2 linked regions of the Sus scrofa genome follow. The protein of the gene in region 1 purifies or fractionates together with the protein of each later gene. This does not show direct contact. Links are inferred from orthologs where the notes say so. Each region holds a gene or a part of one and is shown on either strand. Other genes may lie near its edges. The genes, in order: BCAR1 and BCAR3.

What was found.
Region 2: the proteins of BCAR1 (region 1) and BCAR3 purify together in Homo sapiens (co-immunoprecipitation; 4 studies listed by BioGRID and IntAct, counting the BioPlex papers as one, with this or other methods). This does not show direct contact. The link is inferred for Sus scrofa from reciprocal best matches to the Homo sapiens genes BCAR1 and BCAR3.

The regions. Positions count from the first base shown.
Region 1 is NC_010448.4:12,389,739-12,393,541, forward strand, and holds part of BCAR1 (breast cancer anti-estrogen resistance protein 1), read left to right. Parts: intron 1-2,903; coding exon 2,904-3,515; intron 3,516-3,803. UniProt on the Homo sapiens protein: Docking protein which plays a central coordinating role for tyrosine kinase-based signaling related to cell adhesion. Implicated in induction of cell migration and cell branching. Involved in the BCAR3-mediated inhibition of TGFB signaling.
Region 2 is NC_010446.5:123,642,872-123,646,674, forward strand, and holds part of BCAR3 (breast cancer anti-estrogen resistance protein 3), read left to right. Parts: intron 1-1,566; exon of another isoform or gene 1,567-2,056; intron 2,057-2,868; coding exon 2,869-2,972; intron 2,973-3,803. UniProt on the Homo sapiens protein: Acts as an adapter protein downstream of several growth factor receptors to promote cell proliferation, migration, and redistribution of actin fibers.

The sequences.
Region 1 (3,803 bases):
GGCTGGCTTCTCCCAGGACCCTCATCCCTCCTGGCTCCAGGCTTCTGGCCTCTGGCCCCTCTGAGCTGCTCTGGAGGAAGGGCTCCCCAGCAGTGCTCGCCAGTCTGCGTGTGCAGTCCTGGACCTGGGGCCTTGCCGCCAGTCCAGGCCTCCCCCGGGCCGCTGTCCCCTCAGTGGTCTTCCGTCCTCTTCCCTAAGCCTCCGTGTGACAGGCAGGGGAGGTGGAGCTCAGAGGGCCCGATGCTGGTGTGGAGGTGGGCCCTCCTGGGCTTGGATGAGGCCTCGCCCTCTGTCCTCTGTGCCCCACACGGAATCCAGGAGCTGAGACGCGGGCCCAGGTCCCATTTCTGAGTCAGGTCTAGACCAGGCTCTGCATCCTCAGTCCCCAGGAGACTCAGAGGAGGGTGACCAGAGCTGAGGCCTGGCTGGAGGGGCTGGAGCCCAGCTGTCCTGGCACTGTCCTTCCCCCATGTGTGAGGCCTGGGCTCCTGCCCAGTCCTGCTGAGTTCTCTGCTGCCCTCGGAGACCAAAGCTGCCCTGGCCTTCTCTCCCAGATGCCTGCTTCGCTCCTGCCCTCTGCTGGAACGACCTCGGCGGGGGCCTCTCGGGGAATCTCTGGGCCCAGCCTGAGCCCTGCACCTGTGTAAGCAGCAGGGGTGGTGGACTGAAAACACAGGGCCTCCCCGTCCTGGTTCCCTGTGGCCGGTGTGGTTCTGGGCCTGCCGGCTGGGAGTCTACCAGTGCTGGTTCCTCCTCTCTGACCCCACAGCCTCCCCCGAGGCCTGCACAGGCCGCTTGGCTACAGGGCCTCTCTCCATGGAGCGTGTGTCCCGGTTCCAGGAGGGTTTATTGACAACGGAGCCCATTAGCGGTGCCCCATAGCAGTTTTCTGGGGTGGCAGTGAGAACTACCAGGACAGTTACAGGAGTAAAGAGTGGAGCTGGGGCAAGGGGTGCTGTCCTTCTGTGGCCATCCTCGGTCCGTATGGAACCGCCGTCTCGTTTTGCTGTATTTCCCTATGTATTCCCTTTTTTTTTTTTTTATCTTTTGTCCTTTTAGGGCTGCACCCGCGGCATATGGAGGTTCCCAGGCTAGGGGTCTAATTGGACCTGTTAGCTATGCCACAGCCACAGCCACGCCAGATCCGAGCCGCGTCTGCAACCTACACCACAGCTCCCAGCAACGCCAGATCCTTAACCCACTGAGCGGGGGCCAGGGATCCAACCCGCCACCTGATGGTTCCTAGTTGGATTCCTTCCCACTGTGCCACGACGGGAACTCCCCTTCCCTTTGTATGCCTGTCTCATTCCTGTCCCTCTTCCAGGAGCACCCATGCAGTGTCATGTGTCTGGAGTCCACCCTTGGACAAGTGTCTGTGAAATATACAGAGTGTTCTGGAGATACTCATAACATACATGCAGAGTGTTTTGGGCCGTGGGTCTCCTGTTTGTGGCTGGAGCACCTCCAGATTCTAGGGGAAGCACTCTTGTCATTTGGCGGCCTGTCACCCCATCGGCTCTCTGTTCTTCCCCATCCGGCTGGAGCCGTTCCCTTTGATGAGGTCGACCCTGTCTGTCTGTTTCTGTTGTTGTTACCTTACGTTCTGTGCTTTTGTGCTCTGATTTGGGGTTATTATCTTTTTTCCCCCTCATGGTCACAGATATATTCTCCCACAAATTTTTTTTTCTTTTTTTTTCTTTTTTCTTTTTTTTTGGCCATGCCCACAGCATGTGGAAGTTCCCTGAGCCAGGGATGGAACCTGTGCCATATCAGCAACACAAGCCACTGCGGTGACAAGGCCAGATCCCTAACTTGCTGCACCACAAGAGAACTCCAGCAATTTTTTCTTTTATCAGCTCTAAAGTTGTACCTTTCACATTTAGGTCTTTAATTGCCCTTTGTTTATAACATGAGCGATGTCCAGATTGACTTTTCTTCCTGTGGCAAACAAGTTTTCCTGGTACCCGCTGGGCTGCAGTCCTGCCCTCCGCGTTGCTGCGTGGTTCCTGCAGGGCAGGGCCCTTGCTGGAGCCAGTCCCACCGCTGGTCCCTGTCCTGCTCCCGGGTTGGAGTTGTGGCCAGGCCTCACGATGGCAAGGAAGTGCCTCTTTGCATTTCATTTTCACAATTGACCTTATTTGCGGACTTCTGTTCCTCTGCTTAATTGTAGAAAGGATGCTTTATCTTTGGTCGAATTCTTAAAAAAAAAAAAAAATTCTGCTGGCATTTTTATTGCAGTTGTAACTTACTAAGTAAGCTTGGGCCAACTGGTACATTTTCTCCTCTGGGCTCTGGTGCAGTCTTTGCTTGATTAATTCTTGGATAACTTGTAGCTTTTGTTATCAAGTGACGTCTTTCCTGTGAGGTTCCTTTCTCAGCACTGCCAAGTCTTCTAGATTGTTGGGATCTTCACTAGATGACATGTGGTCTGCAGATGGTGGCCGCTGTGCCCCGTGTGTCCCTTCCCACTCTCTGGGCTTTTCCTCTCGGATGGTCCCACTGGCGAGGCAGCAGGGCCGTGGTGTCGGTGCAGGGAGGGTGTGCATCCTGTTTTCTTCCCAGAAGGAGGTGGCCGTTACTGTCATTATCGCTCTTCTCCCCAGCATCGGTCTAGCTTGTACTGTGCCTCTGGGAGTGTTGTTTAGAGTATTTTGAGGGCCGTTCTGGAGCGGTGCCGGTGGCTGCCGTTGCGAGGATTTTGAGGCACTATCCAGATCCATTTGAAAACATGCCTGGACCAGTTGGGCTTTCTGCCAGGGGCACTGGGGGCAGAGGCATGGGGATCTCACCAAAACCTACTCAGTTCCTTTCTCGGTGCCAAGGCAGGTACCTCTCCAGTCCTGCGGGGCTCCCAGCACAGTCCTCCTGCCCTCACGAGCCCTGCCTGTGTCCCCTCCCTGCAGAACGTGCTGGCCAAAGCCCTCTACGACAATGTGGCTGAGTCCCCGGATGAGCTCTCCTTCCGCAAAGGCGACATCATGACAGTGCTGGAGCGAGACACGCAGGGCCTGGACGGCTGGTGGCTCTGCTCACTGCATGGGCGCCAAGGCATCGTGCCCGGGAACCGCCTCAAGATTCTGGTGGGCATGCATGACAAGAAGCCCGTGGGGCCAGGCCCTGGCCCGCCTGCCAGCTCGGCCCCGCCCCAGCCCAGCCTCCACGCCCCGGCCGCCCAGTACACGCCCATGCTGCCTGCCGCCTACCAGCCCCAGCCCGACAGCGTCTACCTGGTGCCCACCCCCAGCAAGACTCAGCAAGGCCTCTACCAAGCTCCCGGGCCCAGCTCGCAGTTCCAGTCCCCGCCGGCCAAGCAGACATCCACGTTCTCAAAGCAGATGCCCCATCACCCATTTCCCAGCCCGGCCCCAGACCTTTACCAGGTGCCCCCGGGACCTGGCAACCCTGCCCAGGACATCTACCAGGTGCCGCCTTCCGCTGGGATGGGGCATGACATCTACCAGGTCCCCCCATCCATGGACGCACGCAGCTGGGAAGGGACGAAGGCGCCAGCCAAGGTAAGTCCTCCCTGGCATGGCCAGGCAGCCTTCCTGGCCAGTTTCATCCAGGCCCAGTCCCTGGGTGCAGCAGAGCAGAGCCAGGCACCTTTGGGCTCTCCGGGGCTCCGGCAGCGGCTGTGTGTTTGGTCTGGGGCTGGGGTGGGAGGTGAGTGTCTGGGGAACATGTGCATTTGTCTGCTGACGTGGGTGCCCACCCCACCCCCGCCCCGCCAGGGAGGCCTCCTCTTCCCCCTCTGTCTCCTCCCTTCCGGGTCTCTGTAGTCAGGCTTGTCCTGCTGCATCTCT
Region 2 (3,803 bases), on another chromosome or scaffold:
TCTGGGATGCGATCGCAGGCCCGCTGAGGGCCAGTGTCCAGCAGCGGTGCTGGGGTCGGGAGGGAAGTTAGGTCTGAGGGCTCGGATGGGGGCTTGGCCCAGAGGGAAAGGGGGGGGACTAGGTCAGAACAGATGAGATTCCCAAGGCAGCAGGTGCTGAACACCTGGGGGCTGCTGTCTGAACCCCACCGCCCACCCTCAGGGCCGTGTTCCTGCAGGACCCGACTCTCATGGAGCTCGAGTCCGCATGCATGTCAGCCCACGGCCCGAAAGGCGCACGCAAGAGGCAGGCGTGGTAGAGCCAAGACCAGCCCCAGCCCCAGCCCCCGGGGGCAGGGCCCCTCCTCCAGCTGCCGGCACCTGAGCTTATTATGCAACGTATTTTATTCCACTCACTGGTCCTCTTTCTGAAGCAGGAGGAAATGTCATAAACTATCATTTCTCAACTGTAAAAATTCAGAACAAAACACAGGACTCTGTGAGCAATGTCATGATGGTCCTGTGTCACTAGGAAGCTCTGGTGGCTGTTAGTCAGCATCCGGCTGTGGACCTGCCGCCCGGCCTTGGAGGCAGGTCCACCACTGGCCTGGCCAACCCTGGACCAGCTACTTACCTTCTCTGGGCCTCAGTTTTGCAAAAATTGGGTGCTTGAAGGGTAAATGGTTTAAGGTGTGCAAAATGCTTAGAACAGTGTGGGCACACAGGAAGTGCTGGGTGAGTGTTCGTAATCCTAATAATAGTTATTATTAATAACTTTTTTTTTTTTTTTTTTTTTTTTTTTTGCTTTTTGGGGCCACACCTGAGGCATATGGAAGTTCCTAGGCTAGGGGTCGAATAGGAGCTGTCACTGCCAACCTGCCCCACAGCCACAGCAATGCTAGATCTGAGCCATGTCTGCGACCTACACCACAGCACACGGCAATGCCAGAGCCTCATCCCACTGAGCGAGGCCAGGGATCAAACCCAATCCTCTCGGACACTAGTCGGCTTCGTCTCTGCTGAGCCGCATGGGAACGCCCGGTTCTAGAAGGCAATAGAATACAGGATTCGGGGCACTTGCAGGGAGGGAGGCAAGAATGATATGTAAAGAGTCTCCCTTTCATAGTGAGAAGGTTAGAGTGAGATCCCTGAAAGTATTAAGGGGACCTCTCTTCTGTTGCTTTTGGGAGGGGGGTTGGCTGCTGAACCAGTGAGCCGGGAGATAAGGTGGAGCACAGAGCCCCACCTCCCCACCCCAGGAACAGTGCTGGGAAGGAAGGCCTCCTGGTCCACCCACCCTCAGTGACCCAGACTTAAAATACAACTTTTTTAAGGATAAGACATGGAAAGAAAGGAGTTCCCGTCGTGGCTCAGCGGTTAATGAACCCGACTAGGGACCATGAGGTTGCGGGCTCGATCCTTGGCCTCGCTCAGTGGGTTAAGGATCCACTGTTGCCGTGGACTGTGGGCTAGGTTGCAGACGCAGCTCGGATCCTGTGTTGCTGTGGCTGTGGTGTAGGCCGGCAGCTGCAGCTCCGATTCGACCCCTGGCATGGAAACCTCCCTATGCCGTGGGTGTGGCCCTAAAAAGACAAAAAAAAAAAAAAAAAAAAAAAAGAAAGAAATGGAAAGAAAGTCAGAGCTCTCTAAGTCACAAGACAAGCCTAAGAGAGCCACCCTCAGATTGTCCTTTGCAAGCAGAGCTCCCTAAACCTTGTCACCTCTTGGCAGAGGCTTCAAGTGGACCTAAAAGAGGGGGTGAGGTGGGCTCCACGGGGACGGGCACCTGACCCGGAGCCCTGCCCTCCGCCCGCCCGCCTGCACCTTCCCTGACGTCAGGCCTGCTGCTGGCCCGCCCGGCGGCGGTGCGCTCGGCCAGGCTGCATTCCAGGCCAATGAGCTGGGCAGCGGCGTCTGACCACGGGCGCTGGTCCCTGCGGAAGCCCCACTTCGCAGAAGCCACTGCCGTTTGGAATTTGCCCTCTGCCCCGCCTTATCTCTGAGTGTCGCTGGAATTTCTCTGCTGCTGGGCGTTCGGGGGTTTGGGTTTGGGTTTTTGCCTTTGGCGCTTGCAAAGGTAGGAAAGAACGTCGGGATTTCTGTAACAGGAGCTTGTGGGAGGGCCAATGACCGGTCTCGACCCCTCGGCGGGCGCCGTGCTTTCTCTTTTACCAAAAGGGAGCTTCTGTTGTTTGGTGCTAATGAGAGAAATTCCCAGTGGGAGTCGGCAGGTGCCAGAGCAGTGCAGGCAGGTTGTGTCATCACCGTCTGTCTCTCCCGGGCACTGTGCCTCCTGGATGCCGCCTGGTGACCCCCCCGTCCCTTTTCCTGACTCAGCAGGAGGAGGCTGGCTCTGGGGTCCCCAGCAGGGTCCCCCTGGATGGGTATGACACCCCGCCCCCCGTCCCCAGGCGATGCTGGGAATTAATTGGGAGAGGCGGAGATTTGTGCTGAAATGCAAACTGTCCCACAGCGTCCTCCTGAATTGTGACACTGTGAGGTCCGGTTCAAAACGCTGTTAGGTACCCCAGTCGGCCCTCCCGGGTCTGCGAGTAATTTTAGGCGTTGTTAAAAGTGCACATTCCGGTTCATCAGAGTCTCCTGCGTGTATCATGAAGCTTTTACCCCCGCTCTGCTCGGTGGGACAGGAGGACTCAGAGGAGGGAGCCGAGGACCGAACTGGGTGGCCGTGGGGACCTGGGGAGGGAGCCCCCAGCCCGATGGTCCCATCAGTGATTTCCTCCCCGGCAGCCATCCCGGTCCTCTCAGGGCAGCCCGAGCGCTCTCGTTCTGAGTAACCTTTTTTCTTTTTTTCAAACTTTCCGTGACGTTGCCTAAAGGCTTTATGGTTTAATGACATGTTCCTGCCCCACTTGTCTTTTGCTTCAGAAATAAGGAGAAGAGCGGGAGCCAGCCTGCCTGCCTGGATCACATGCAGGACCGCAGAGCCTTGGCCCTCAAAGCCCACCAGTCGGAAAGTTACCTGCCGATTGGTAGGTGTCGGGGGGTGCGGGGGAGGAGGGCGGCGGTGTCCCCGGTGGCCTTCAGGCCGTCCCCTGCCCCATCTGGCCGGCTGATGTGGAGTGACAGAGCCTCCGCACCTGCAGGCTGTAGGGTGAGGGGTTTGTAGAACTATATCCAGATGCGCGCATGTAACGTGCTAGCTTTTAAGCCACATGACGCGCCCTAAGGTGGCGTGATCGTCCCTGTGGCTGAGGAAACTGAGGCAGGGATAGTAAGGGGCTTGTCTCGAGTCGTCTTTCTTGTAAGCCGGGACCGGAACTCGGGTTTCCTGACTCTGAGCCCGGTTGCTCCCCGGGGCTGCTCGTGACAGGCCAGCCTCCCTTCGTCCCCTCCCCAGGCAGAGGGCAGCTGGCCGGGTCCCAGGGCTCCTGGTGGAGCAGCTTTCCAGACAGGCCCTCGTCCCCTCTGTTCTCCTGTCACATGAGACGGTCGGGATGTGGGGACACGGAGGAGGTAGGGGCCGGTTAATAGGCCGCCGGGTCGGTCCTTGTAGTTTTGGTAGCCGGCCTTCCTTGCGAGCCGAGATCTTCCTGCTGCCCTTCGTAAACCACCTGAGTGTGCCTCTTCTCGGGGTCTTCGCCTCCTTCCCCAGTGTCGCCAGCTCAGGATCCCCCCTGGCTCTGAGGGTGACTCAGCCCCCTCCCCCATGCTGTGTGGTTAAAGAGGCTGCTTCCTGGGCCAGGTTAGGTTACTCACTGCCCTCCAAGCTCATCTATTTCCCTGTTCTGACGGTACGAACCTTCTGAGACCATAAAGTGACATTGCAGCCCAGCTGTCAGTCGTCACTGGGGCTGAGATCT